6 linked regions of the Mus musculus genome follow. The protein of the gene in region 1 purifies or fractionates together with the protein of each later gene. This does not show direct contact. Links are inferred from orthologs where the notes say so. Each region holds a gene or a part of one and is shown on either strand. Other genes may lie near its edges. The genes, in order: Abi1, Wasf1, Eps8, Cyfip2, Eps8l1 and C77080.

Evidence for each region.
Region 2: the proteins of Abi1 (region 1) and Wasf1 purify together in Homo sapiens (affinity purification with mass spectrometry; 6 studies listed by BioGRID and IntAct, with this or other methods). This does not show direct contact. The link is inferred for Mus musculus from reciprocal best matches to the Homo sapiens genes ABI1 and WASF1.
Region 3: the proteins of Abi1 (region 1) and Eps8 purify together in Homo sapiens (affinity purification with western blotting; 4 studies listed by BioGRID, with this or other methods). This does not show direct contact. The link is inferred for Mus musculus from reciprocal best matches to the Homo sapiens genes ABI1 and EPS8.
Region 4: the proteins of Abi1 (region 1) and Cyfip2 purify together in Homo sapiens (co-immunoprecipitation; 4 studies listed by BioGRID and IntAct, with this or other methods). This does not show direct contact. The link is inferred for Mus musculus from reciprocal best matches to the Homo sapiens genes ABI1 and CYFIP2.
Region 5: the proteins of Abi1 (region 1) and Eps8l1 purify together in Homo sapiens (co-immunoprecipitation; 4 studies listed by BioGRID and IntAct, with this or other methods). This does not show direct contact. The link is inferred for Mus musculus from reciprocal best matches to the Homo sapiens genes ABI1 and EPS8L1.
Region 6: the proteins of Abi1 (region 1) and C77080 purify together in Homo sapiens (affinity purification with mass spectrometry; 3 studies listed by BioGRID and IntAct, with this or other methods). This does not show direct contact. The link is inferred for Mus musculus from reciprocal best matches to the Homo sapiens genes ABI1 and NHSL3.

Annotation. Positions count from the first base shown.
Region 1 is NC_000068.7:22,952,487-22,957,317, reverse strand, and holds part of Abi1 (abl interactor 1), read left to right. Parts: intron 1-199; coding exon 200-300; intron 301-3,706; coding exon 3,707-3,883; intron 3,884-4,831. UniProt on the Homo sapiens protein: May act in negative regulation of cell growth and transformation by interacting with nonreceptor tyrosine kinases ABL1 and/or ABL2. May play a role in regulation of EGF-induced Erk pathway activation. Involved in cytoskeletal reorganization and EGFR signaling.
Region 2 is NC_000076.6:40,931,733-40,936,563, forward strand, and holds part of Wasf1 (wiskott-Aldrich syndrome protein family member 1), read left to right. Parts: intron 1-183; coding exon 184-301; intron 302-1,380; coding exon 1,381-1,553; intron 1,554-2,744; coding exon 2,745-2,924; intron 2,925-4,377; coding exon 4,378-4,831.
Region 3 is NC_000072.6:137,523,347-137,528,177, forward strand, and holds part of Eps8 (epidermal growth factor receptor kinase substrate 8), read right to left. Parts: intron 4,184-4,831; coding exon 4,022-4,183; intron 3,892-4,021; coding exon 3,742-3,891; intron 1-3,741. UniProt on the Homo sapiens protein: Signaling adapter that controls various cellular protrusions by regulating actin cytoskeleton dynamics and architecture. Depending on its association with other signal transducers, can regulate different processes.
Region 4 is NC_000077.6:46,309,083-46,314,561, reverse strand, and holds the start of Cyfip2 (cytoplasmic FMR1-interacting protein 2), read left to right. Parts: upstream 1-2,203; 5' UTR 2,204-2,335; exon of another isoform or gene 2,336-2,627; intron 2,628-5,479. UniProt on the Homo sapiens protein: Involved in T-cell adhesion and p53/TP53-dependent induction of apoptosis. Does not bind RNA. As component of the WAVE1 complex, required for BDNF-NTRK2 endocytic trafficking and signaling from early endosomes.
Region 5 is NC_000073.6:4,466,672-4,471,502, forward strand, and holds part of Eps8l1 (epidermal growth factor receptor kinase substrate 8-like protein 1), read left to right. Parts: intron 1-573; exon of another isoform or gene 574-2,182; coding exon 2,183-2,223; exon of another isoform or gene 2,224-2,524; coding exon 2,525-2,583; exon of another isoform or gene 2,584-3,209; coding exon 3,210-3,371; exon of another isoform or gene 3,372-3,611; coding exon 3,612-3,761; exon of another isoform or gene 3,762-4,136; coding exon 4,137-4,219; intron 4,220-4,369; exon of another isoform or gene 4,370-4,555; coding exon 4,556-4,817; intron 4,818-4,831. UniProt on the Homo sapiens protein: Stimulates guanine exchange activity of SOS1. May play a role in membrane ruffling and remodeling of the actin cytoskeleton.
Region 6 is NC_000070.6:129,223,577-129,228,407, reverse strand, and holds part of C77080 (uncharacterized protein KIAA1522), read left to right. Parts: intron 1-496; exon of another isoform or gene 497-626; coding exon of another isoform or gene 627-681; intron 682-2,394; coding exon 2,395-2,565; intron 2,566-2,645; coding exon 2,646-2,701; intron 2,702-2,935; coding exon 2,936-3,056; intron 3,057-3,896; coding exon 3,897-4,010; intron 4,011-4,091; coding exon 4,092-4,831. UniProt on the Homo sapiens protein: Able to directly activate the TNF-NFkappaB signaling pathway.

The sequences.
Region 1 (4,831 bases):
AGGCCAGGTAGGGTTCAAAAACTGTGCTAGTTACTAGTTTTAAAGTTCTTGAAGAACAGTGTAACACAAGAACCATTTTAAATAATAGGCTAAAGGTTAACCAAGTTAAAGAGTATTTAGTAGCTCCAGTTTAGATTAAGTTTTTTTTTTTTTAAATCAGTGTATAAAAATGATTTTCCAATGCTTCTCTTCTTTGCAGTGGAAGTAGTGGAGGAAGCGGAAGCCGAGAGAACAGTGGGAGCAGCAGCATTGGCATTCCTATTGCTGTGCCTACGCCCTCACCGCCCACTGCGGGCCCAGGTACGGTAGTTAGTACCCTCAGCTTCACTGTGTTGTGTCTGTTCACTTTATTATGGAGGCTAAAACACTCTATGTATATTGAATGAAATTAGTTACTAGATTGTGGCTATTGCTATAATAAAGGCAGATATAAAAATATGATATTTTTAGATTAATTTTCACAAAATTGTTAGGGTTTTACAAGCTGTATGTGTGGTACAGAGAAGTCACTTTGTTAAGTCAGTTTTGGCCATTTTGTTTTAGTAAATGTTGCCTTTCTAATAGTTTGTGATGTTTATTATTTCAAAAGCAAACCATTTTGCATAATATTTCATTCAGAAGGTCAGTATTGCTAAACCAATGTATTTGTGCCTTCCTATTTATGTATGAGATTCAGCACCTGTTTTAGTGAAATCTGGTGAATATAAGATGATATTTAAAAATATGAAAATTTATTTTACCTTTTTAGAAAGTATGTAAATTTAAGGTATTCTGGGAGAACATTCAGTTAACCCTTTGAAATTGAGTCAGTGAAATGTAGACTTTTTTGAGGTAGGTTATTTCTGTGTAGCCCAAGCTATCCAGAAACAAAATGTGTATATTAAAAAAAATGTTTGAAAGGTAATCATAATAAAAAAATGAGAGGAAACTATCTTACCTTTTCAAAGTATTGTTCAAGAAAAATGATCCTGTTATAAACACAGGCTCATTTTGTGGGTACTGCATTTATAAACTCATTTGAACTTGTTTTATATACGGATGTTTGTTTTTTTTTCTTTGTCTTCAATATGCGGTATTTTCCTGCCATTTTGGAATTTTTGGTTCTGTTTTCTTACACTCCGATCTGAGTGATAAACTATTTTGCTAGAAAACATTGTGTCTGGCTTCCTGGAGTCATACTTCTCCCAGTGAGTGTTGCTGATGAGACTGTGTAGGCGTTGGGGAACCATTAGATAAATTTTACATATCTGCACTTAACTCTTGTAGCTGATAGATTACAAGTTGCTGCAGTTACTGGATTATAGATGGTACCACTAAAAGTTAAAGAATTAAATCTAATTATTTCTAATTTCTTCTGGTGAAGGACCTTTGAACTTAACACTATAAGAACACGGAGAAGACTCTTTATTAAATACAATGTGGTCCTATGTATGATTTACAACAAACTTAATGGGATTTTTATTTGTGATTTATTTAGATTGACAAAAACTGGCAGTTATTACATCCAGTCAAAGGACTGGGCTGAAGGTGGAGATAGGAAGTGGAACATGGAAAGGAAATAGAGTGTGACTGGGCTGCTGTGGTGCTATCTTTTGGATTATTCTTTGAAAATTTTTGCAGCAGCCCAGGTTTCAGATAGCTGAGAATGCTCTGAAGTAACTTTATCAATTGGATGCATTCAAATTGTCTTTAAGTTGGGAAGGACTAGACTGAATGCTAATACAAAGAATTCTAGATCCAGGCTGGGCAGTGTGTGGCATATACAGGAGGCAGAGGCAGGCAGTCTCTGTGAGTTCAAGACCAGTCTGGTTGATGTTACACAGAGAAATCCTGTCTCAACTCCCTCCCACACCCAAATTTACATTCAGTTTAGAAGTACACAGAACTTAAGATAAATAATGAGGTGTCTCTTATGAGAATTAATTTAGATGAAATTAAACTGAAAATATTTTTAGATTATTTTTTTTAATATTTATTTATTATATGTAAGTACACTGTAGCTATCTTCAGACACTCCAGAAGAAGGAGACAGATCTTGTTACAGATGGTTGTGAGCCACCATGTGGTTGCTGGGATTTGAACTCCAGACCTTCAGAAGAGCAGTCGGGTGCTCTTACCTGCTGAGCCATCTCACCAGCCCTAGATTATTTTTCAAAACATTTATGTATACTGAGGAAAAGGAGAGGGAAGGAGATAATACAAAATCCCATGGATATAGAAATCACTGAAAGAAAGTCTGTGAGCCTGGAAGATGATTGTTGAAGCCACAGTGGATAAGTAAAAATGCAGACAGACAGCTCACCTTGTTGGGGTGTGTGGAACTGGTGCTATACTGCTGGTGTTTGTTGATATGCTTGCTCCCTTTACCAAAACCCCTTTTGCTTACTAATCAAGGTAAACAGCATCTTTCAGTGTCAGTCTTAGGTACTAACATCAGAACATTATTTCTCAGAAAACTCTCTGTTAAGTTTGTGAGGTCAAAGCTATTACATGTCTTTTTCATCCTCATTCTGTCAGAATTTTTTTTTCTAGAGGCTCCGTGAAGTCTTTGTGTACTTGTATATAAATTCACCTTAAAGCTGTGTCAGTTTGAATATGGTCATTTCATGTAGGTGTAACCCACTCCAGGGACACCTAATTTTTAGTTTTTAAGAGTCGACTTAAAGAAAAAAATGTTTGCTAACTGCTTACTTAGAGCACTAACTTTCAGAGCAATAGTCCCAAATTGGTTATTAACGTAGAGGAATTAGGTAGAAATTTCAGTTTCAGAACTCATCCTAGATCTACTTTGTTAAAAATCTCCGAAAATGGAACCCATAAATTTCCATTACAACAAGCTCTCAAGGGGAGATTTTCATCAGTGCTGAAGCGTAGGGAAATTCAGGGACTATACTTAGCAGTGTTCATTCAGAAGGAGTGATAGTTCTTAGTGTTAGAATAGTACCTAAATACAACCTAAATAATTAATAACAGTAATTACTAACAGTTATAAAAATCAGAAAAATATACTTAGCAGTTTAAATTTTATTGTTTACTTTATTACTTATCCTGAGCTTTTTAGCCAGATAGAATTTTAAATCAAATTCCGAAACTTGGCTGTGAAGAGGAAGCTGTTTATAAAGCAGTCATGAATGACCCACAGCTAACAGCTAGTGCCTTACTCAGACTGTGTGTGGTACTCATTTTGTTGGAGCCAGTGTACATACAAAAGCTTTATACACTTGTCCTTCATCCCCTCAGGTGATTGATTCTTGTACACCCCACCTCCAATAGATACAAAATCCTTAGATAACTCAAGTTCCTTAATCAAATGGTGTAGTACTTGCAGACAACTTACACATATATTCCTTTTCATATATTTCAGATTATCCCTGGGTTACTTACCATACCAGAGTAGTTGTTCTCGCGCATTGTCTAGTGAACATTCTGAAATGCACATGTAAATTACATATAGCATTAGCAAAATAGCATTCAGGACTATGCTTATTGCAAAGGATTAGCAATGCTCAAATGGTCACTTTTGTAGCTCTTTGCACTAGCTGTCTTCTTGTTTATATACTTTAGAAGTGGAGATAATTTGATTTTCATCTTCTTTTTTTATTTTATGTCTGGGCATTCCAAAAAAAATAAGAACCCCCTCCCCTCTGTCCTGTCACTTGGGGTGTTTGTAATGCTTTCTTGGTTGCCTTTGACTAATGCTTTTCAGCAGCCCCTGGCGCAGCTCCTGGTTCCCAGTATGGCACAATGACCAGGCAGATTTCTCGACACAACTCTACCACTTCTTCGACATCTTCTGGTGGATATAGACGAACTCCTTCTGTGGCCGCCCAATTCTCTGCTCAGCCTCATGTTAATGGAGGTCCACTTTATTCTCAAAATTCAAGTAAGCTTGTGTTTGCAGGCATACAGCAATAGTGGAGCTCCTTTTTAAAGGAAATTATTTGAAACTGTTATTCTTGACTGTGATAGACAACAATTTAAGCCATGCTATTTCATGCTTGTTTTTGCTTTGAATGTTAATCCTTGAATAACCATCTTAAATATTACTGCTTATTTATTCTCCAGGGTTCACTCAAGTATACTTAATCTACCAAATTCAACAAATATTTTAATGTGCTATTATTAGTATTACTACAGTATAATTTGAACTAGAGAACAAAACAATCTTAAATTTTATCAGCATGATTTTGATGGTTCAGTAATGGTACGAAGACACAAACACAGCCAAAGAACTTTTTAAAGAATTTAATGAAAAGAAATTGCTGGCTATCACTTCTAAGGTTGTGACCTCTTTTGAAATGCTTTCAAATGAAAACATTTACAATGCCTGCTTACTTTCTCTTTCTGAATAATTCTAACAGGTGGGAGGGATTTTCTTTTGATTTCCCTTTGTTTACTTCAAAATACACATCTCAGTACTAATTACAGCCAGTGTTTAAAACCTTTTACAGAAAATAGAGTTAGAAAGGAAAGGCTTGAATATCTGAGGATAATCATTGAGTTCACTTTCCATGTTAAGATACTAAATTCAGAACAAAAATAGTTTGAAATAAGCCTGTTGTCCAGTATTTGTTTTTGTCGTGAAGTTACTGGGTGTGGCTGACAGGTTTTTCTATGGCAGCTTCATTTTAAGTATTTCTAGAACTGAATGTTCTATAAAAATAATGGTGACTACTCTGCATTACATGGGATTTGCTTGGCTCTTTTATTTGTATTCATATTACGTGCATATTTTTGGTTTTTGCTTGTTTGTTTGTTTTTTTTAAAAGACAAGGCCATACTTTGTAGCCTTGAAATAGCTTTGAAAGTTAGTGCTCTAAGTAACTGGCCT
Region 2 (4,831 bases), on another chromosome or scaffold:
ACCTTTTCGTCCCTTGCCTTGAGTGCCAGGGTCACTGATATGCTCCCTGCCTGGCAAGGCACTCGTGTGCACATGCTGTGTGTGTGATGCGCTGTCACGGAGGGAAGCACACTTCAGTGGTAAGCATTGGTCTGCTTGTTTCTCTGTCTCACCTAATACACTGTTGGGCGTGCTGTTTTCCAGGGATGATGGTAAGGAAGGGCTGAAGTTTTATACCAATCCTTCATATTTCTTTGATCTGTGGAAAGAAAAGATGTTGCAAGATACAGAGGACAAGAGGAAGGAAAAGAGAAAGCAGAAGGTATTGTAGAAGTTACTTTTTCTGTATTCCCGTGTTGTCGCTCCCTGGAAACGCTGTTAATCTGCACTTTGGCAGCCCTGCTTTGTTGGGTCCGTGCATTAAAGTCCTTATAATTACACAGATCACTAGAGAGTGTCTTGCAGATGTGAGTAAAGTTGATAAATGAAGCCACTGTGTTTCTGCCACACCACGTGGCCTAGCTGTCTTCAGCAGGCTACTGTCTTCTCTTTCCTTTTGCTGGCCTCTTGCGCTTTACTTCCCACTTTGATAAGATTTTCCCGAATCTGCTTGATTTCATATTTTAAATCTGATGATTGTACAAGCATGTGGAAGGAGGACGAGACAAGTCTTATTTTGACACAGTCTGTCTTCACCATGTCTGTCTATCTCCGCCTTCCTCAGTCCCCATAATACCCTCTTGTTGCATGGGAATGTGCTGGACAGTGCCCTTGTGTTCTAGCTGGGGTTTGCAGACTGGTGACTGGCAGGCCAGAGTGCCCCTAAACACAGGTTTTGGTTGCTAAGCACAAGGGATTTAAAATTGTGCTTGAGGTAGAACTCCTGTCAACTTCATAGCATGCCCCATCTTAGACCTGACAGGCTTTTTGTTCATGTGTCACCTGCTTTGTCCCTACCTTCTCCGGGCCTTTCTACACTGTCTCCCCTGATTTTAGTCTCTGGCCATTTCCCATACAGATGTTTTCTTGTCTTAGTTGTTTGACTGGGGGTTGACAGTTCCATCCTTGGTAAAGCATTGATACGTAGTAAAAGTAGGTCTAGGAGTGAGGATCAGCGACCTTTTCCATCCAGAGGACTTTCCGCTTTAAACCTAGGCACACACTTTTTGTATCTGAACTCTCAGTGTGAAATTGAGTTGCTAAACCATGGTGAGAAACTGGGACCACAGTGACCTCTGATCAATTTTAACTCTGACTGTACAGTAAAATGGGTCTCTGTTTTGCTATATTATCATGGCATTGCCGTTTTCAGTAGTGACCTTAGAGTTTTATTTTGTCGTAACTTCCTTCTAAGGATTTAGCATTTCACCACTTGGCGTTGTTTCATTATGTCTGTTATAGCAGAAAAATCTAGACCGTCCTCATGAACCAGAGAAAGTGCCAAGAGCACCTCATGACAGGCGGCGGGAATGGCAGAAGCTGGCCCAAGGTCCAGAGCTGGCTGAGGATGACGCTGACCTCCTACACAAGCATATTGAAGTTGCCAATGGCCCAGCCTCTCATTATGAGACAAGGTTTCATTTTTTTCTTTGTTTGTTTGTTTTTCTAGTGAATGATAAACATTGGATCTACCTGTAATACCTATACTTCTGTACTAGCAAGTCTCGGCTTCTGGACTGTTGAGTTCTAAATTTTGAACTTCTAAATTCTAACTCCCTTGGGCAGGTCATTTTCATATTTGGACTTTTTGTTGTCATTTGTAGGAAAAAAAAAAAGGTTCACAGTGTATACTTTTCTGGTTTGTTTTAGCTTTTATGTAAAGGCTTAACTACCCCCTAGTATTTCAGGTAAAGTGTGTTAGAATGCTGTAGTACAGTGTGTCTGAAGTACTTCTGAGGTGTTGATTTTCACTGCATATGCGGCAGGGGTTAAGAAGAGGTTTGATTTTGTTCTTTCTCTGTCCTCTGACTTCCTTTCTTTTCCACGTCCCTAAATTCAGGTGTGTCAGGGATTTCAGACAGAATTCCTTACTTTCTTTTACAGACAAGTGGGCTAGATCTGGGTCCTTTCTCAGTGGCCAGGAGCCCTATCTAAGTAACAGACTACCATAACAGACATACTTCCAAGCTTCTGTGAAAAAGCTATGTGTATTTTTATCATACTGATTTTATTGGAAAATAGCTTAAAATTTTCTTTTGAAAACATATGAAGTCTTGAGGCATAATTGAAATATTGGGGCCTATTTTAAGAGAGTACGTATCTAAGAGGTACCATCTAGCTACTTTACTTAAAGAAACTGAAAGAATGGAAATTGGAAAAAAAAAAAGCTCTTGTAGGCATTTGTGCTTAGGTGAGGTCTGGCCTGTTGACAGTGTGAGTTGAGAACCTTGTGACACGCACTGTGCACGTCTGTTTAAAAAAGCTCTGCTCCCAGCGTGTGCTGCGGTCAGTAAACCCAGATTCTCACGTGCTCACCTAAAATCTTGGTTTATGTAAATTTCATGTTGCTGTGTCTCAGCTGTATTCTGAGTTTTCTTGCCTCTCTCTGACTCTAGGAGCAAGTTTTCTTGCTCTTACTCCAAGACTTTTGAAAGCCATTAGTTTAAGAAAACACAATGTCCACGTGGTAGTAAGTTCCATTTTTATACTTTCCTCATCGGTCATTGGTTAAAACAATTCACACAGAAATTCACGACTGCGTTCAAGAGACTGACTGTCAGTGCAGCGATTCTAACAGATGCACTAATGCTGTGTATTTCTTGAAGGCCACAGACATACGTGGATCATATGGACGGATCGTACTCACTCTCTGCCTTGCCATTCAGTCAGATGAGTGAACTTCTGACCAGAGCTGAGGAGAGGGTCTTAGTCAGACCCCATGAACCTCCTCCGCCTCCACCAATGCATGGAGCAGGAGATGCAAAGCCCACACCCACCTGTATCAGGTATGTGGGACAGCCTCATAATGCTTTGTCTTGGGGATCAGGGACCTCTTCTTTGAAGGATCAGTCATAAACATCTTAGGCTTTCTGGAAATACTTTCTATCCCAAGTATACCATCTCTGTGTGGAAGCAGCCAAAGATTGCCCATAAATGTCTTTTTAAAATAAAGCCTGGGTTACAAAACCAGGAGGCACCTTTAGACATTAAAGGTATTTGTTTTCCTCCGATTAGAGCTGGCATTTTCTCCTGGGGTCATTTAGCTAATTGCTTTAAGGATTAGTGTTTTCATGTATATAATTATAGCTTTGTTAACATGTATAGTTTATTAAGAAAAAATGAATTTTTTCAATCTAGCAAAGTTCTAAATAAGGAGGTCAAAGATGTTAGTCTAAGATGATATACTAAGGAAATATATCAGCAACTTCAAGACGATAGAATGTTGCTTGTAGCAGCATTTCTGTAAGGTTACTTTAAAGTTTTATGTGATCCAACTTAGAAATTGTTAACATAGGCATATTAAAGAGGTTTTCTTTCTTTCTTTTTTTTTAATTAGGTATTTTCTTCATTTACATTTCCAATGCTATCCCAAAAGTCCCCCATACCCTCCCCCCAACTCCCCTACCCCCCCCCCCCCCCACTCCCACTTCTTGGCCCTGGCATTCCCCTGTACTGAGGCATATAAAGTTTGCAAGACCGATGGGCCAACGAATACAGACCAGCTTTACCATTTTTAGTTTAAAATAGGATATAAACCACAGAAGCCTCCTATGTATCTCTTGCTTATTTGGTATAGCAACCTTAGGAAGAAAGTGGCATAAATGTCTTTGTGTGGTTTTTAATGAGCTGCCATCGGCTTCGCTGAAAAGACATATGATGAATCTTAACAGCTTCAGTACAAAAACACCATCATCATATTAGCCAAATTCTGCTGTAAGTGTGACTAGACACTGCAGTGTGGTGGTGGGGTGCGGGGGGAGGCACTGCAGCCACCCCTGTCACAGCATAGAACTGAACACTGTTTACTGAAGGAAGCACGAAACTCCTGAGGAGGCGTGAGAGTTTCATACAAAGTTAGATTATTATAAACCAAAGCATCACCTATTAATTTGCTTTTGTTGTTGTTTTTTGGTTTTTGGTTTTTCGAGACAGGGTTTCTCTGTATAGCTCTGGCTGTCCTGGTACTCATTTTGTAGACCAGGCTGGCCTCGAACTCAGAAATCCGCCTGCCTCTGCCTCTCGAGTGCTGGGATTAAAGGTGTGTGCCACCACGCCCAGCCATTAATTTGTTTGTACACTTTTAGTCCTTATTCTTTGGAATAATGTTAAATAATTTAAAGCTTCTACAGGAACATGTTAGTGGGTTTATTTTGATGTAGCTACCGCTAGTCGTTTATAGTTTCTACAGTCGTGTTCTTTTTCTGATTAATAACGTCTTGGATGTCTTTGTCTTTTCAGTTCTGCTACAGGTTTGATAGAGAATCGCCCCCAGTCCCCAGCTGCAGGCAGAACACCTGTGTTTGTGAGCCCCACTCCCCCACCTCCTCCCCCACCTCTTCCGTCTGCCTTGTCCACTTCTTCACTAAGAGCTTCAATGACCTCAACTCCTCCCCCACCAGTCCCTCCTCCGCCTCCTCCCCCAGCCACTGCTTTGCAGGCCCCAGCAGTGCCCCCACCTCCGGCTCCTCTTCAGATTGCCCCTGGTGTTCTTCACCCAGCTCCTCCTCCAATTGCTCCTCCTCTAGTGCAGCCCTCTCCCCCAGTAGCTCGAGCTGCCCCAGTATGCGAGACTGTGCCAGTTCACCCACTCCCGCAAGGTGAAGTGCAGGGGCTGCCTCCACCCCCACCACCGCCTCCTCTACCTCCGCCTGGCATCCGGCCATCATCTCCTGTCGCAGTTGCAGCTCTTGCT
Region 3 (4,831 bases), on another chromosome or scaffold:
CAGCAGAGAAAGGCAACTGCAGAGAGGACACAGGTGAGTGTCTCGGCTGTCACAGAGGAAGGATATAAGAGATGATGTGCAGGGCTGGGGGACCCTTCCCCCTTTCCCTTTCCACAGGGGGAACCTATTAACTCACCAAGCAATCACCCGGCCCTACAGAGGCACCAGACCTTAAGGCACACCTTCTGCTAGGTTAGTGTCTGCAGTATCCCTGAATGGATGCATGGTGAAGGCCGGGTTCCAGCCTTCAAAAGGGAGGTCGTGGAAGGAAGACATTGCGCTTTGCTCTTACATGACACTAGGATTGCCAGATACTTCCTGCCTGTCTCTTATCACTTCCTGCTTCCCAAGAAGCAAACAGCAATTCTACCACACTCTTCCTACTACCATGGACTTTCCCACTGCAGGCCCAAAGGCAATGTCCCAAATAACCATGGAACTGAAGCCTCCGAAGCCACTAGGAAAACAGACCTTCTCTCTTTGCAAGTTGCTCAGCTCGATGGTTTGCCACCGGGATGGAAAACTCACTCAGCAGTACATTCACAGGCTGAGTCTCAATTCTATATTGTATCCGTTTTGATAATCACTTTATTATTCCATTTCAGGTAAAAATGAACTATCTGCCACCACAAATTTTCCCATTATGTTCCCAACAAGACCAACGATTAGATTTTCTTGGGAATTCAAGTGAGTTTTGTAGATAAGGTGTCAATTTTTCTTTGTTATGAAATTTATCTGTAGCCTGTAATTATCACTGTATATGAGGATGTTGCTCATGTATTTATCTCCTATTTTTGGGCTTGTGTGCTCTGTGTAATTATATACATTTTTCTCAGATATATGAGTCACGTATTCTTTAACAGTCAGCACTGGTGAGTATAAAAACTGATGGGAGACCTCAAGATCATGGAGTGTGAGAGAAAGTGCACACGTGCACACGGACACACACAAGCACACATGTGACCGCCCATATATGAACACTGATTACATAAAAGGAAGTCAGAGGACAACCTCAGGTGATGTTTTCCACCTTTCACCTTGCCGGAGGCAAGGCCCTTTGCTGATTACCCCTACATAAGCTGGTCCAGCTGGTCTGGAGCTCTGAGAAATTCTCCTGTCTCTGCATTCCATCTCTCTGGAGCTGTGTGAGGATGATAGATACGTACCATCACAGCTGGCTTGACATAGGTTCTGGGGATTTCAACTGCAGTTCATCCACCGAACAGTCTCCCCAGCCCTTGTTTAGTCTCCTTTCTAGTTAATTCTCTGAGGGGAACTAGGAGAAGTAGCCTGGCCTGCATCATGTTCAGGGTGAGGTAACACTGCAATGGACCCCAGTACAGTGCATCCTTAGAACAGTCTAGCCCAACACATTCCAGATGGTCAACTAAGGCCAAAGTCCTCTATTATATAGAAGATTAAAACTGGAGGTGTCTAGAACCTTGAACTTCTATGAAAAATGTTGCCATCGCTAAAGGAGGCAAACGCACCATGTAGCATCCCATGATAAAAAGTTACACTCAAAAACTGTTATCGCAAGATGTTCTGCACACAGACTAGTTACAAATCACAGTATCAAGGCACTTGCATTTTTAAATTAGCAAGGAATGCACACCTCATGAAAAGAAATGTGGCACTGGCCAGGGTGAGTGGCTTTCCTCATTTTTAGTGGTCTGAGCTATGGTGAGTACAGAGCATTGTCCAGGAAATTCATGTGGAGGCATCATGGTCACGGTCCCCTAGAGAAGGAAAGCCCTTCATTCCATAACGCAGAGGCTGACGTCTGGAACCTTTACTCAGGACAGTAACTCACATTTAAGTCAGACTTAAAAGCAGGGATACAAACACAAAATTTAAATGCCTTTTGACTCAGTATTTTTCATTGGTTTGTAAGTCTCTGAACTGGGCCAACAAGACGCCTCCGTGGTTGAGGACACTTGCTGCTAAGCCTCAGGACCTGAGTTCGATCCCTGGAATTCCCATGGTAGAAGGTGATAACCAATTCCTACAAGTTGCCCTCTGACCTCCGTACATGATATCCCTCTTCAATAAATAAGTACAAAAATTAAAGAAGCAAAATCCATTAATAAGATTTTACTTTTTTTCAGAGCGAAATATTCACTTCACCATTTTTTTGCTTTAACATATCAAAATCCTCAAAAATCATTAAAATAATTAAGGAATTCGAAAAGTTATAGTCTGTAAAAAGCTGATGAATTTCAAGCTATAAGTTACTTAAGTAGCACAGTTCTTTCAAGTAAGACTTTTATTATAATCATCTGTGGGATACATTGAAATTAGGAAAGATTACAAACTATATTGTTAATGATAATCTGCATCTGCCATGGTTTAATGTCAAAGAAACGCTGATGAGATCAAGTGGGTTTCTTGTGCTGGTCTAAAATGTCTTTACAAGATAAAAGTCACAAGTAACTCAGTGCTCTAGGAGGAGAAAAAGGTGGCCAGAGTGAGAACTGTCCCTCCATTCCCAGTGTTTGAACACTGGGTCCCGTTCCCCCCCCCCCCACCAGAGGTGCTCACTGGGGAAGAGCTTTGAGATTAAAAGTCTATGGCCACTTTCAGTTGGCTCTCTCTGCTCCACGCTCCTGCTACCATGCCTGCTGTGTGTTGCCATGACTACCCACCAGGACAGACTCCTGTCCCTCTGGATTTATCAACTCAAATAAACCCTTTCCTCTCCTAAGTGGATTTTGGTCAGTGTTCTATAACAGCCACAGGAAAGAAACTAAGACAGGCGCCAATGAACCAAAGGAAGTTTCTCTTTTAGAGACACCAGCTCAGAAAATAAAGCTATCTAATGTTGGAGATAAATTCTAAGGTTCAATAAATTATCATCATTGATAAATTACGTGGACTGTGAAACATAGATTTTGGGGTCTCAAGTTTATTATTCTTGCTAACTCTGCCCAGCTATTTCTCATGGCACTTAGGGATCACAAACCCTGAGTAACTTTCCAAGTCCCATAATTAAATGGCAATCTTCCTATCAATACCATGGGGCATTGCAAGGATCTCACTGAAACAATCGATACAAGCTTCGAGGTTAACAAGGAAGAAAAGAGAATTGTAGCATACTTACTGTCTGTCTATTTAGTATATGTGCCACAGAAGCAAGCATAATGCATGATTTTTAATGATCTATTTTTAAATTATATACACAGAGCCCCTGATGAGAATTTCATACACCGGTACACTTTGCAAACAAGATAAACAACACGTGTCTATGTTTGTTTGATACTTTTGAACAGGCTTCTGCCTTGCAGCAATCCTCCTGCCTCACCCTCCTGAGTGGTACAAGTAGGACCCATCTTACTACACCTTGAGTTAAAAAAATAATAATAAAATTTCCTCTTTTGTTTACCTGATTGGAAATTTATAGAAGACACTTCGGTACTGATTTTCTTCATCACATTCTCAAAATGTTAAACTCTAGCAACTGATAGCTTTATAATCAAGATTGAAAGTTGCAGAATATTGCTCTAGAGGGTTGAGCGAGGAACAGGGACCTGAGATTTGCCTAGTAGTTGGGAACACTTGCTGTTCTTACAAAGGATGGGAATTTGGCACCAAGCACCCACATCAGGCTTCTCGAATTTATAATCCCAGCTCACCTTCTTCTGACCTCATTGGGCATTCGTGTACACACACACACACACACACACACACACACACACACACACACACCCCACTAGAATTAATGGGAGGCTGAGGCACTCTTACCTTAACCTCATCACACTGGAAAAGGTGAAGGTCTGGCTTGCTCTGCGTTGGCTCTTTGCATACCAAGGCGAGAATGGAGTCATAGCTGCATGCATGTACCACTGCTTGACAATGCGAGATTGTGTTTAGAGGAAAATTCTCCAATTCATTCTGTATAAAATGAGTAAATATTTGACAGTGTCAAACCATCACTTGTGTCCCAAGACTCTGTCCTGACTGCACACGTTGGTATCGGTGGTGAACTCTTAAGACTAAAGTGGCATAAACCTCCCCGACTTGCCTTTGACTCTAAGTCAATCAGGCTCACAGCTCGGTCATCCACTTGGAGAATCATATCTTGAGTCCACACTTTGCCCTTGGCATCCAGCAACTTCAGCTTTCTTATTCCGTCCTCGACAGTGATCATTGCATCTTTCCGATCCAGCACGAAGGTGGTCAAGTGCTTATGATGTTCAAAAAAAAAAAAAAAGGGCGGAAAAGAAAAACTTTGAACACACAAATAAAACCCTCTCCATAGGTATTTTTCAAAAGGAGGAAGAATTTGCATAACAGAAGTCAGTTAGAAGAACCAAAGGCTTGACACAACACACAACAACAACCTCAGTTACTCCACTGACAGGGTGGAGTTGAGTGGCCTTTTTTTGTTGAACACAGAAAACAATGCCTTGATTTGTATGATCCCTGAACCTGTGTCGTGCTGTGTCACGTGGGGCTGCAACAGCATAGTATTAAGACAAGTTCTTAGCAATGAAACATAAATAGCATTTCCTTACATTAATGACCCCACCCCTGTTACTCAGAGAGCTATTTCAATGCTGCACAGGAGAGCAGCATTTCCAGAGGCAGCTACAACCTGGACAGCCACTCGGAGCCTCAGGTAGGGTTCTGGTCTCTAACAACTGACCCGTTTGCCCTCTCCTGAAAACACTTTACTGAAAAACAGTGGTTCAGTTTTAATTAAGCATGCTTGAGATGAGCGGCAAACTGAAAACAGCAACTTAAAGATGACGTCCCTGCTTACATGTTTTCCGCTAAAAACAGGGGTCGTTGTGATTCCAATTAAGAGCAAATATCTTACAAACTAAAATAG
Region 4 (5,479 bases), on another chromosome or scaffold:
GAGGCAGGTCTGTGGCATTTAATGTAAAAAGCCCATGGTGCACCTCCTCTACGGGCAGATAGAACCCAGCAGCCAGGGAAAATAAAATGGCATAGCATACAACCACATACATAATATCAGTTGTTTTGTGCTATTGTTTCCAAACAGATTCTCTCTGAAAAGAGAAAAGACAAAGAAGGAGCAACATGGAGAAATATGTCTCTGAGAAGATAAAAACGCCTCAAATAATCTGCCTTTCAGGATGAAAACCCAAGGAATGGGGATTCTCATTCGTAAGCGTCTGCAGTCACTGTGGACTGAAATCCTGAGGATCCTGGTTGAAAAAAAATGAATTTTAAAGTAAGACGAAACCTGAATTCTGTTTTTAAAGCCATCCCCCACAAACACCCCCACAGCTTTCTCACATGGCATCAGAAGGGGGGGAAAATGTATGTGTGTCGCTATATATGTAAGTCATCGCTTCTGAAATAGCAGTTTAAATTAGACAAGTGATGTAACATCAAACCACATGGGAGCGTGGTTTCTGAGCCCCGGGGGAAGCATGTGAGATGCAGCTAAGTCTTCTCAAGTCCTTGCCTGAGATTTGCATACAGTGGCTCCTCTATCAGTAGCCATTTACAGGGAACAACTGTGCAAGTCTAAGTTTGTGGCGTCTGGCAAGCATTGGAGAAGGTTCTCATGACCCAAGATTTTATTCCTTGTTGCTCTATACATAAATCAGGCTCTCAAGTACTTTCCAATTAGTTCCCCTAAGAGGGCAGGCTGGAGAGATGGCTCAGCAGTTGGGAGCCGTGGCTACTCCTCTTGAGGACCTGAGTTCAATTCCCAGTACCTACATGGCATCTCACAATTATCTGTATCTCCAGTTCCAGATTATTCTTGGCACCAGGCATGCATGCGGTACACATATATGTGCATGCAATCAAAATACCCATACACACAGAATAAAATAAATACTTTATATACATACACACACACACACACACATATATATATATATATATATATATATATATATATATATATATATATATATATATATATATGGTACCCAGAGCAACTATTATTCCCTTTATTGCAGGTACTGCATCTCCCACTCAGAGCAGTACCATGCTGGGGTGGGTTCAGGTCAGGACTGAATGCAGCTGGCCTCATCCCTACCTAAAGCCCTCCGAGTTATGTCTCAAGGAGCAATGGATTCTTTGAAGAGCCCTAAGCAGCATCTAAGAGGCTTCTGTCTCCTCAGCTCCTTCCTAGGTTTGCCTAAAAGTCAGCTTATCATGATTTTGTCCACGAGTCAATTCTACCTCAATGGGATCGACATGGGCACGCGCGCGCGCACACACACACACACACACACACACACACACACACACACACGCACACACACACATAATAGCTGTACATTTTTACACTAAGAAATGGAAAGGAAGTAGATGTTTCTCTTTGTTTTTAAATTATTACATTTATTTATTGTGTGTGTGTATGGGTGTGTGTATGTGTCTGTGTGTCTGTGTAATGTGCATATATGCATGTGGGTGGAGGTCAGAACACAATATACAGAAGCTGTCTCTCTCCTTCTACCTTGTGGATCCTGGGAATCGAACTCAGGTCATCATCAAGCTTGGCTGCAAGCGCTTTCTCCCGCTGAGCCTGTGCCCTCTGAGCCCGTGCCCTCTGAGCCCGTGCCCTCTGGGAAGTTATTCTTCAAGTGGTGGAAGGGCTCAACCTCTCACTTAGCCTGCTCCCTTCTTTGGGAAAGCAGCTGTCATTGGACTCCTGTTAGGTCAGTTAATGCTGGCAAATAATAAGCTCCAAGCGAGCAGGGGCTCTACTGCACACTAGTGCGTGCCTGGCTCTTGGCAAGATGCTTGGAACAAAACAGGTAGTCGATAAAGATGTGGTGAATAAATGACTATATGAAAATAATTTGACACCGGGGAGATGCGAAAGGAGCTGACGCTTCCTTCCTTCTGGAGTGGCAGGTGTCGCTGGTGATGCAGGCGGCAGCAGGAAAGTCGTCCCTCCTCCACCTCCAGAGTCCGGAGGCTGGATACTCTAAGGCTGGAAGGTATGGGTTCAGGAGGTTGCAGGTCAGGGGTGCGCAGGGAGCCCCTCGCCGCAGCCATTTCCGGCTCTTTGTGTGACAGCAGCCGCGGCGAAGGGGCTGGGCACCGCGGCCAGGGGAGGAGCCGCGGCAGGCGGAGAGGCGGGGCCGCGGGCGGGGCGCGGCGGTCCGCCGGCGCAGCGGCGGAGCGGGGCTAAGCATCCTGCGCCCCGGCGCGGGGCCCTGCGGTAGCCTCGGGTCCCTCCCCTGGACCTGCCACCGAGCCAGGTAAGGGACTCTCGGAGACAACAGGGCTGATGCAGGAACCGAAATGCTGCCTAGGCGGTGGATGCGTTCCTGAGGATGCGCGAGGGGCGGGCGCCACTTCTCCCAGCCCGTTGGGGGCGCTTGGCTTGGCGCCCGAGGCTACACGGCTTCAGGTCCCTGGAGGCCGGGCTACAGGCCTGTGTTGTCCCTTCTCCCCTCGGCCGCCCCGGGCGCCCTGGGCAGGGAGCGTTTTCCAGAAGTCGTGGGTACAGCGCAGAGCTCCGCGCAGCAGCCTCAGCGGCAGCCACAGCAGGTGCGTGGCCTGGGCCGGAGCCACCCGCCCTAAAAAGAGGCAGGGATAGTCTCGGGGACCAGGGATACCTGCAGGGGCCACAAGCCCAGAGGGGGCTACATCCCTGCACCTACATACTGCAGATCGCCGGGCAGTCCCCGCCTCTGCGGTCGCGGCCACCATCATTCAGCCAAGGCCAGAGAGAGCTGCCTGGGCCCGCCTGACAGGCAAGGGGGTACTGGGCGCCCGCGGTGAACCGAAGCCGGGTGGGGCCGGGGCCACAGCGGCACGGTTTGGGAGAGGAAAGCTCTGATGAGCCGGGAGGCATGGCTGACCTGCTTCGAAGCGTTCTGGCCTATACTAGCGCCTCTCCCCTGGATGGCTTTGGGGAGGAGAAAGGTGGGGTGATGGAATCCTAGGGGTCAAGGTTTCCTTCGTATTTAGCTGCCCACCTGTCTGTTGTGGGAGATTGCCACATCACCTTCAGGAAGGTAAGCCCTCCTGTGTGTACAGGAAGAGGAGTAGCTTGTGGCTAAGGGTGGGGGCAGGGAGCATGGTTGAACCGACTGTTGGTTTTCTCCCGCGACTATCTGGGTGTTTTCCAGTCCAGACTTAGAACTTGGCTAGCCCAATTCTTTAGTGCCCACAGCCCCACAGTTGGGCAGGAAGACTTAGGGATCAGACTGACGACTGACTGTTGCTCCTAAGCAACCATTTCTACCTCTTGACCCCTTCCCTTAGAAGTGACCAGCCTTATTCTTGGGCACAGGCCCTGCAAGAACCATTGCCTAGCACTCAGTGACACCCCCCCCTCCCGCCATTGTCGGAGGACAAAAATATAGATTAATATCTATAGTCGGGATTGTAAGTCCTTGAAGGTAGTTGTCCCTACCACCATCCCCCCTTCTGTGGCTTTCCCCCCCTCCACCCGATGCTCCTTGGGTCCCTTCTCTCCTGTCAAACTTGCTTGAGAAAGGAGCCAGTGAGTGGTATTTATCTTGAAGAGCTAAATACAAAAGGTTTTCCCATTGGATGTAGAGCAGGCGCTTCTTAAGTCATGGGATCAGAAAGGAAGCCGAGGATAGGAGACATTTTAATAGGAAGCAGAGCTGAAGTCAAAATATTTGCTATCTCTAATGGTTGACTTTCCGATGTAAGCTAGATGTGGCACTGATACTGTGGTCAGAATGGCCTATGTGGCAGCTGCCAGCTTCGTTTTCTGTCAGGGCTGCTTTGGCCTGGTGGGCAGGAGTACTGTAGGAGTGTGTGTGTGTGTGTGTGTGTGTGTGTGTGTATGAGAGAGAGAGAGAGAGAGAGAGAGAGAGAGAGAGAGAGAGAGGCAGAGAGAGGCAGAGAGAGAGAGGCAGAGAGAGAGAGGGGTCAGGGGTTACTGTCAGCAGAAGGCTTTTGTTGATCACCAGTCTCTCCTTGCCCGTGGGGTGTGAAATGTGCCCATGGAGAGTTCCTTACTGGAGCTAGCTGCCATCTGCCCTGACAGTTACGAAGCCACAGACAGCACGCTGCTGCTTACAAAGCCAGTGCCCCTGGGTACTTCTGCTTGCTGAGCCCCAGGCCGGTGGCATTAGCTCACTAATCTTCTTTATTGTAGTTCCTGGCCAGTTCTGACTGGTTGTATAGGAACCCAAGACTGCCTTGTTCCCTAATGTGGTGGAAAATGGAAAGAAAAAGCGTGAGTTAGGCATTAGGCCAGAAGTGGGGGGTGGGGTGGGGCACAGGTTTGGAGACTCTTGCTCAGATCAGATCACATGGAGAAGTAATTTAACAGCTAGCCAAGGGCCCCGGTAACAGAAGTGCACCCTTCGATTATCGTGCCCCCTCAGTGGTCACTGGGCCTCTGAGGCTGCCATTGACCTGAAAGCTAAATTAGGTGATGAATAGGCAACAGGCTAATTAGCATTGGGAACAGTATTGCTGGAAAACAGTATAGGGCTCCTGTCCTCACATCTCAGCCCCGGCCTCCATGCTCAAAGAGGCTTCTTTGGACCACTGTTAGCCCCAGGGTTCCACCAAGAGCTTCACAAAATGCTCTTTCTGTAGCCTCCATGTGGCCACCATAACAATGAGTCTATTTCTTTACTGGCAAGTATTAATTATTCACTTATAGTTGACGAAACCAGATGTCAGTCACCTCATTGGAGCCTTTGTGAAAGGCCTTTGGTCTTGTCAATTTGAGAAGCAAAGCTATATCTAGGGTCCGGCGAATGGCCTTGGCGATTGTAGCTGGAGGTGGTTGGTGGATGGGGAAGGCAGCAGTTTGTGCCTTGCAGACTGTGAATCCTGTGACTCGGAGGCCAGCTGTGGTGGGGGAGGGGCCAGTGCATCTTTGGATGTTCTTATTAAATGAAAGATGCACGAAAGCTCTGAATAGAGTGTGTGGCACACAATCGGTCTCCTATTTATACCCCTATTGCTGCGATGCAGTATTTACACGATCGCCGAGAATTTGGTTCATGTGCATAGTCAATTCACGGTCCTCTCGGACCTCTTCACTCCCGGGACTTACCTGAATCGTGCTTTTTCAAGGGGACTTGGTCTGCTGGATCAGTTGAGGTACGTGCCAGAGACATTAGAAAGGCATGTGATCAGACAAGGTGTTGGCCAGGGCTTCACCTGGCAACTGCTGAAAGTGAACGTGGTTGAACTTGAGTTGGCAGGAGGACCGGGTGGGGGCAGGAGAGCAGCGGTAATTCTCACGTTTCAGCACACAGAGCCGGAGAAGAATGTCTTCCTCTGTGTATTCAGCATTCTGCAACCAATTCAAAAATGTCAAGGGCAAGCTTGGGATGGACAGGGCAGCACAGTGAGGCTAGGACTGGGATTCCTCCTAGGCTTCCTGAGAGCCTTTAACTTGG
Region 5 (4,831 bases), on another chromosome or scaffold:
GGGGAACTGAGGTTACCATGTTACAGGAAGGGGAACTGAGGTCGGAGAGATTGGGTCCCTTCACCAGGGTCTTATAGTGTTGTTATTGGGTTTTTTTGTAGATTTATTTTAGTTTTTAATAATTTGTGTGTGTCTGTCTGTATGTCTGTGGGTCTGTCTGTCTGTGGGTCTGTCTGTCTGTGGGTCTGTGTATGTAAGTGCAGTGCCTAAAGTCAGAAGAAAGCATTGGCTCTCCTGGAGTTGCAGTTACAGGCAGCTGTGAGCTGCCTGATGTGGGTGTTGGGAGCTGATCTTGGGTCTGGAAGAGCAGCACTTGCCTATGACTGCTCAACCAGCCCTCCAACCCTGGGGTCTATTGTTTGCATTTTGTGTTTGTTTGTTTGTTTGTTTGTTTTATTTGTGTCCCAGTCAGGGTTTCTTGGTCATGATGTTTGTGCAGGAATAAAAACACCGACTAAGACAATTTGTTTGCTGCTTTTATGTATCTCTGTTGTGTTTTGTTGTGTTTACGGGGCCTTGCTCTTGTTTTGTTATTGGGTTTGGGTTTAAGTTTTGTTTTTTTTTTTGTTTTTTGTTTTTTGTTTTTTTGTGTCTAGGTCTCACTATGTAGCCCTGACTGTCATCAAACTTAAATCATCCTTTCTCTGTCTCCTGAGTTCTGGGATTGTGAGTGTGCATCAATCACAATAGGCTCTGCCCTTCACCTTTACATTAGTCAGGGTTCTCTAAAGGAACAGAACTGATAGAATCACACACACACACTTATACATATACATGAACACACAAACACACATACACATGAATCCACATACACACACACACACACACACACACACACACACGATTTATTAGAGTGGCTTATATGCTGTGGTTTGGGTCATCCGACAGTGGCTGTCTCATAGCAGAAAAGCCAAGAGTCCAATCGTTATTCAATTTACCAGAGTGGAGGCGTGAGCAGTGTAGTTCCCTAGAAATTCCTAGAGAGCTGCTGGTCTTTGGCCTACATTAGAGTCCTAAATATATATATATATTCTAACACCAGCAAAGAAAGACCTCAGCAGGAGGATCGATAAACAGCGAGATTGAGAGCAAGCAGGCAAAAAATAGATGTGTCCTTCTCCCATGTCCTTTTATGTCTCCAACAACTTGGATTTTAGTTGATTTCCAATGTAATCAAGTTGACAACCAAGATTAGCCACCAATCTTTTTTAATTGTATCTTTTTCTCTATCTCTCTGTCTCTGTCTCTCTGATGTGTGTGTAAGGGTGGAGGGAGGGATGTCTGTATAAGCTACAAGAGGTCATTGGTCCCCTGGGGCTGGAATTACAGATGGTTGTAAGCAGCCTGGCCTGGTTCCCTGGAACTGACTAGGATCCTCTAGAAAGGCAACGAATTCTCTAACAACTGAGCCAAGTCTCCAGCCCCCATCAGCTTTGTGAATTTTAACCTAGAACCAGATATGATGGTACATGCCTGCGTTCCCAGCACAGTGGCAGTCGAGGCAGTAAGGACAGGAGTTCAGGACCATCCTAAGCTACATAGTGATTTCAAGACTCTATCTCAAAATTGCAAAAGCATTTTTACTAAAAGAGAGCGCAGGGAGGGGCTGGGCATAGTGGTACATGCTCTTAATTCTAGCAGCTGGTAGGCAGAGGCAGGAGGATATCTATGAGTTTGAGGCCTGGTCTACTGTAGTGAATTTCAGAACAGCTAGAGCTTCACAGCTGGTTGTGAGCAGCCTGGCCTGGTTACCCAGAACTGAACAAGGGTCCTCCATCTCAGGGTGAGAGGGGGAGAGAGAGAGGGAGAGGCAGGCAGACAGACAGACAGAAATAGAATATTTGAATCCAGGTTTGTGCGATGTAGCGGTCACACACACACATTATCACATCATATGTCTTGATTTTTTGAGACAGGGTTGCTCTATGTAACAGTCCTGGCTATCCTGGAACTCTCTTTGTACACCAGGCCTCGAACTCACACCTCTGCCTCCTGACTGCTGGAATTAAAGGCATGCACCACTACACCCAGCTTATACCATACCATCTTCTTTAACTCTGGTGTGTCCTGCTCTCACCTGCTCAGACCTTGCACGGCTCTCCATTACCCTCCCTGATGCATGCCTGCAGGGTCTATCCCCAGCCCCACCATCCTCCTAACCCCTTATTTTCTTCTTCACCAGGCCTGAAGCTGCACCCAAACCAAGTGCAAAGTCTATCTATGGTAAGCTTGAGGGTTAAGGCGACCAAGAACAAGGCTCTTGGGAGAAGAGAGAATACAGTCTGTCGTTTTGAGAGGAGGAGGAGGGGACAGAATCTGGGCTCTTGGATCTGAGAGAGAAGAGCTGGGGTCAGGGATCCTAGGTCTGAGGGAGGATGGCTGCAGTCTGGACTCCTGGGTCTGAGGGAGGAGAGCTGGAGTCTAGACTCCTCCTTCTGAGGGAGAAGGGCTAGCTAGCATCAGGGTCTAAGGAACCAGGCTGCAGTCTGACTCTTGCATGCACTTCCCCCTCTCCCCTCCTTAGAACAGAGAAAACGTTACTCCACCGTGGTTATGGCTGACGTGTCCCAGTATCATGTCAATGTGAGTCTGGGGTCTATGTTTCTCTAAGACGTTTCCTGGGGAGAGGTGAGCCTGAAGTGATAGGCCTTTTGAAAACAGGGACTGGGGACGGGGGCAGCCATCAGGATGTAAAGTGAATAAATAAGAAAGAGAGAGAGGGAGGCAGGAGGAAGGGAGGGAAAAAGAAGGAAAGAAAGAAGGAAGAGACTAGGAAAACTCAGCTCTTCTCTCCCCATGAACATCCGTCCCTGTTGCCTGAGAACTCAGTTCTGTCTGATCTTCCTCTGAGCCATCCCCAGTGCAGGATGCAGGACCAAATCGGCCACGGTTCCATGGTCCAGGAGAGGGTGTGGATGTCATAATGCAAAGCAGAGGAGGCACTTACAAGAGTTCAATCCTTATTATTTGTTGCCCTTGAGAAGCCTCCAATCTTGGTTTGAAGATGTCCTAATTGGAAGGAAATCTAATCAGTGCTGGCCACTGAAGGAGCTGAAGGGTCTGAGGGAGGGAGACTGAGGTCTGGATTCAAAGGGTCTGAGGAAAGCATTCTGGGGAAGTATGGCTAGGCTGAACAGGAGCTCCCTCTAGAAGCTCAGCAACAGCTTGGCATAGCCTGGGACTCAGCTACCTACTCTGTCTCCTGCCAGCACCTGGTCACCTTCTGCTTGGGGGAAGAAGATGGCGTGCACACTGTGGAAGATGCTTCCAGAAAGCTGGCAGTCATGGACAGCCAGGGGCGTGTCTGGGCACAGGAGATGCTACTGAGAGTGTCACCTAGTCAAGTCACTCTGCTTGATCCAGTCTCCAAGGTGCCAGAGAGCAATTGGGTGGAAGAGAGAAATGGGGCTGAGATCTGAGGGTGAATCTTGGCTCCGAAGCGTCCTTCCCCTGGGAACTTTGGCAAGCTATCCTTTGAAGCCTAGGTTATTAAACAGGGTGTTATTTCTAGGCCCCTGAACTCTTTCGGTTGCCTTGCCCCAAGTCCTGGACACTGCTCTAGCAGTCATAGGAATCTGTGCCTCCGTTTACCCTGCGACCCCGTCCTGCAGGAAGAACTAGAGTCATATCCTCTCGATGCCATCGTACGCTGCGACGCGGTGATGCCCCGAGGACGGAGCCGTTCATTGCTGCTCCTGGTGTGCCAGGAGCCAGAGCGTGCACAGCCGGATGTTCATTTCTTCCAGGGCCTGCTCCTCGGAGTGAGTGGGCGTGGCTCCGGGTGGCTTTTTTTTCTAGTAGAGAATCAGAGGCGGGGCTTCCATGTTTGGGGCGGGGCCTTGGCAAACGGGGACATAGCCTAGGAAAGCAGGTCTGAGAGGGAACCAGAATTGAGGACAGGTTGAATGAACTCTAGACCATGACTGAATGTGACGATGGGAAGAAGATGCAGAACAAAGGCTTTGAGAAAAACATAAAAAAGATGGTTGGAAGCAGGCAGGCAGGCAGGCAGAACCAAGATGGGGTCCATGGGGTTTGTCCAAGACAGTCGGAGGCAAAGCGCTGAGAACAAGAAAGAGTCCTGGGCAGGCAATGGGTGGGGCGTAAGAGGGGAGATCTTAAAGTATGATTGACAGGCGGAGCTGATCCGTGAGGACATCCAAGGGGCTCTGCAGAACTACCGCTCCGGACGTGGAGAACGCAGGGCAGCAGCGCTCAGGTGAGGAGAAGGGGGAAGCAGATGCAGAGCGCACTGAAAAAAAAAATTCTCCCATCTATGGACCTCACTCTCCTCAGCTAAGAAATGAGCTTGGTACGAACAGCCTAGAGTGTTGAATGTGGTCACAAATTAGCCTTGGCCAGGTCTTACCTGTACCTCCCAGACAAGGTGACCGCTCCGCTCCAGTCTTCTACTTTAGCCTGTCTTGGTCTTTGGTTTCTCCATCTTCGTATCCAGTTTCTCATTATGAAATGCCCAGCCTTCGTTTGACCGCCCCCCCCCCTTCCTGATCCCATCGGTTGCCCCAGCCTCGGTCTCCCCTTTTTCTTAACTCAGGGCGACGCAGGAGGAGCTGCGACGCGGCGCCTCTCCAGCAGCGGAGACCCCGCCCTTACAGCGTCGCCCGTCTGTCCGCCTGGTGATCAACACCGTGGAACCATCCGCAGTCCGCGGGCGACCCCAAGTGGAGTCAATTCCAGAGACTGAGGAAGCAAGGAAACCCGACCAAGCTCGCACGACTAGCAGTGCTGACCCTACCTCCCCAGACTTGGGCCCAAGAGGACCTGAGCTGGCGGGTCTGCAGGCAGAGCGGGATGTGGTGAGCTTGAGTGA
Region 6 (4,831 bases), on another chromosome or scaffold:
GGGTGACTGTTGTCATCGGCCACTTTGATTCTCTAGGTATCCCACCTGCCAGCCTCAGTTATGTGCCCTGTTCTGAGGCCTGCTCTGTCCCTGTCATCCTCACAGGCAGCCCTGGGTTCCTGCCTGCTTGTTCCGTGAGCTGAACTCTTTCCTCGGGAAATTACCTTAATTAGCCGTGACGGCTGGGTGTTGGGCATGGGCATCGTGCCAGGTCTGGTCTGGTGGCTCTTCCAGCCACCATCTGGCAGCTGGGACCCTTTCGTTAGCTCCGGCACCCAAATGTTTGGGCAAGAACTTGGGAGCAGAGTCAGAGACCCACAGCTAGCTAGCATTGTGTCTTCTCTTTGGTACCTCCAGTCACACTCAGCAGCAAAGCGCCCAGTCTCTGGGCCTCAGTTTCCCTGTATTCTGCTTGGGGGTGGGGTAGGGGTGGGGTTAGCGGATGGGCGGGCTCTATGGCAAAGGTGGGAGGAGAACCTGGAGCAGCCCCTCCCCCTCCTGCCCGAACTCTGCCAGGCAGCTGACTGCCAGCTTGCTTTGCATCCGAGTCCCTTTGGGGCTGCGCTGTATCGAAGGTGTTGTCTGATGTTCTGGGGAGGTTAAGGTGGTGACCATCTGCTGCAGACATGGTAGTGTTCCTGGGGCGACATCTCCCAGCGCTTCTTGAGGTCTTTAAGAAGGGTGAGTGGGTGTGGCTGTGGGGGTAGCCAAGGGTGACAGCCCCCTTTGCCAGACCCTTAGGTTGGTGGGGGTCAAGGCTAGGAAGAGCGATGAGGTGGGGGAGCTGGTTCCCAGGCTGGCTGCAGTCTGAGTCGGCAGCCGCGCTTTTGTCCGGCGGCTTTGTCCCTGCTTTTGTTTGAGTGCCGCTTGTTATCCTGGAGGGTGGACCTAGGTGTCTCTGACCTTGGAGTCTGTTGTCCTAGGGTCAGATTGCCTTACTGCTGGGATACCAACTCATTACTGGGTATAGCTCAGTTTAGAGAGAGGACACCCCTCTCCGGAGTCATCTCCTCGGTGGGAGGATCTGCAGGAGCGGGGAAAGCGTGCCCTGGGGACCTCGCTTGGAGAGGGCAGTTTTGAAGGTAGAGACCAGGTGCACGCCTTTGCCCAGGAGCCTGGCTTTTAGACTTAGGTTCTAACTGTGGGAGCTTTCGTTTCTTGTGCTCTTGGAGGGCAGGGGTCCCTTCTGGGAATGCAGAGTTTAGCCCTGGCTGTCTGAGCCATTTGCTGTGACTGTAGTAGGAAAACATTTTCCACTTGAGCTTGTTTCTCCACTTGTAAAATCGTGGGATGGAGTGGGAAACACCCAAGATCTCCGGGGGCACCTCTTAGCTCTCTCTGCCTTGGTGGGATTCCTGTGGCTTCTTGGGGGCCGGTCCTCTGGTTCTGAGGAATACTGAAGAAAAGAGATGGCAGGTGTCTGAGTTGGAGACCTAGTTCCTGGGGTGGGGCCCTTTAAAGGGCTTATTTTGTTCCTGCTTCTCTACAGGGGACTGCCAAGGTCACATGACCTTCCCAGCGCTTTTGCTTATGTTGTGGGATTCATTTAAAGAGGGGCTGGGACTGCAAAGTGCTGACACAGCCCCCATCCTCAGGATTAGATGACCAGCCCCTCTGTGGGCAGAGCCTGTAACAGGATCCTCTGTAATGGAGCTCTGGCTCCTCTGTACCTGGAACCAGGCCAGGGCCTCCAGGAGAGGCCATACCTGGCCTGTTCCCTCAGGAGAGGCTAAGTTCCCAGCGGGAGTTGAGGGGCCTGATCCCTCTTCTCCCCGTCCCTGTGGATCCTTCTAGAGAGTAGCCATATGAGTAAGTAGGTGTCCCTGGCCTATTCCTCCCTTAGGGCTTTCTGGAAATCTGACTGTGACTGACAGCTCTGGGTTTTCATGGCATCTTCTTGGACTCGGGCCAAGGGGCTATTTAAAGAGGGTGGTTTGTTTTCCTTTAAAGTGAAGCATCAGGTCTCGAGACAAGAAATGGATTTGCCATGGGGATGTCTGTGTGGAACCCTGAGTGACCTGTGGGTGCAGTTTTAAGTGTGCTTTGGGGTGTCTGCAGCACGGTGTCAGGTGGATCTGTGGAAGCTGGTGGAGCCACGTTTGCCGGTTTATGCTTGGGTATTGTTTGTGTGTATACACTGCTGAAGCCTGTAAATGCCTCATGGATGTAAAGGGCCTGTGTGTTGACCTTGTGTGGTCCTATTATGTGATGTGATGACTCAGATATATGTGCCCTCCGGTGTAGTTCGTGTGTGTACATGGGATAAGAATGTGTCTAGGCGGTATGGCAGAGGTAGACATCAAAGGGATGTGCTCTGTATGCCTGTGTGGCTGTGCTTGTGAGTCTCCAGCGCCCACATGCCTTCGGGCCTCACTTCCTTCTCCGTCCCATCAGGCTCTGCTAAGGCCGAGAGTGACAACCGTCAGGGCGCAGGGCCCAGCCAGGGGCCAGGATCTGTAGGAGATGAACTTCAGGACAACGTTTTCTTCCCCAGTGGGAGACCTCCTCATCTGGAAGAGCTGCACACACAGGCCCAGGAGGGGCTCCGCTCCCTCCAGCACCAAGGTAAGTCCTGCCCTGTTAGAGTGCTGTTCCCAGCTCCTGGGTCAGGGGCTTGGCCAACAGACCCTTCTGGTGTCTTCCAGAAAGACAGAAGCTGAGCAAGGGCGGCTGGGACCATGGAGACACCCAGAGCATCCAGGTGAGCCCTGTCCCAGCTCCGCCCTGCTCTTCCCTTCTGACTTAGCCTCTGGCATGCATGGCTTTGGGCCTTTCTGGACTAGTTTCTTCTGTATGTTGAAGAGGTAGATGAAATGACTTCTGACAGCTAGTCCAGGCTTGCTCCATCTGGTACCTGCACAGTGCTGGCTGATGCTGGGGGAATCCAGCGGGAGCCCAGAGTAGCTCATCCAAGCTGCTCTTATCCCCCCAACAGTCCTCCCAGACGGGGCCGGATGAAGATACCATCTCCATCTACAGCCAGAAGTCATACATGACGGAGAGCTCCACCGCGGAGGATGCGCTCTCCGTCCGCTCGGAGATGATTCAGCGCAGAGGTGTGTTGTCATCTGCTGGGCTTTCTAGGTAGCAGGGAGAGGTGACAGGCACCATCACATCGCTTTATGTCCTGGTATCTGTGGCTTCCCCTTTTCCTCCTAATCCCAGGCTATGTGATTCAGTGAATTTACCAGACAGTACCCTTTATCTTCTTGGAGGTTCATGGTGGACACTGACCCAAAGCAAGATCGTGAAGGGTTTGGGAACCCTGACTTGTGGTAACTTAGCTGCAGCGTGACCAGGAGTCTAAACCCTTTACTTCTTCAAGTGTCTACTGATGTTCTATAGAAGCTAAAGTGATTGACTTTCAGTATAGCTTAGCTGGTATCATGCTTGCTTTCGCAAGCAGGAAAGCCTGTGTCCAGTCCCTTGCACTGTATGCAACAGTGCGGTGGTACACACCTGGAATCCTAGCGCTTGGGAAATAGAGGTAGGAAGATCAGAAATTCAAAGTCTTCCTCAGCTCCATAGTGGGTTAGAGGCTGACCTGGATTGTATGATATCCCTATTTCAAAACAAAAGCCAAAGGATTGGCTAGGGACAGCCTCAGAGGGCCTAGGGAAGGCATGTCTAACCCCTTGCTCCAAGAAAGTCAGGAGATTACAAATATTTACATCATTGGAATGAGTATCAACCGTTTAACATGGTGATACAATTTGCTCACTAAGTAGTAAGAATCGCTTGCTTAATGGAAAGGTCATTGTTGAATCAGTGAGGGGATTTTTCAGGAGTCTTAAAGAAAGCACGCACGAGTACTTTATTAGTACTGAGCCATGTCTCTAGAGTGCTCAGAGGCCTTCTGCTCTAACGGGTTTTCCCCCTCTGGACTGACTCCTTAGGCTCCACCTTCAGACCCCATGACTCATTTCCCAAATCTGGGAAGTCAGGAAGGCGACGGAGGGAGCGAAGGAGCACGGTGCTGGGGCTGCCTCAGCACGTGCAGAAGGAGCTCGGTGAGCCTTGGTCGGTGAGCAGTGGTGGTGGATGCCCGGGAGCCTGGCCAAGCCCCTCCGCTGACCCCATGTCTGTTTCAGGCCTGCGGAACAACCGTGAGGCACCGGGCACTCCACAGCCTCCTGGTTCACGGGACGCTGTCCGCATCCCCACGGTGGATGGTCGCCCCGGTCTGGCCTTAGGGACAGGGGTCCGAGTGTCCCTGCAGGCTCTGGAAGCAGAAACAGAGGCCGGCACAGATGCAGAGGCTGTCATCCAGCGCCACATCGACCGTGTTTACCACGATGACACGCTTGTTGGCCGATCCACGGGAGCCCGGCCACCGCCACTGACGAGGCCAATGTCTCTCGCAGTGCCTGGACTGACAGGAGGAGCAGGATCTCCAGAGCCACTGAGCCCAGCCATGTCAATCTCACCCCAGGCCACCTACTTGTCGAAGCTGATCCCGCACGCCGTGCTGCCGCCCACCGTGGATGTGGTGGCCCTGGGCCGCAGCAGCCTGCGCACTCTGAGCCGTTGCAGCCTGCTCTCTGCCAGCCCAGCTTCGGTTCGCTCCCTGGGCCGCTTCTCCTCGGCTTCCAGTCCACGGCCCCGCAGCCGCAACGCTTCCTCGTCCAGTGACAACTGGAGCCACTCTCAGTCCTCCGAGACCATTGTGTCTGATGGTTCCACTCTTTCCTCTAAGGGGGGCTCTGAGGGCCAGCCAGAAGGCTCTGTAGCTAGCAATAATGTGGCGCCCCCTCCTCCAGGCGGTAGTGGGCGGGGCTCCCCCAGCGGGGGTAGCACTGCGGAGACCTCAGACACGGCCAGCATCCGAAGC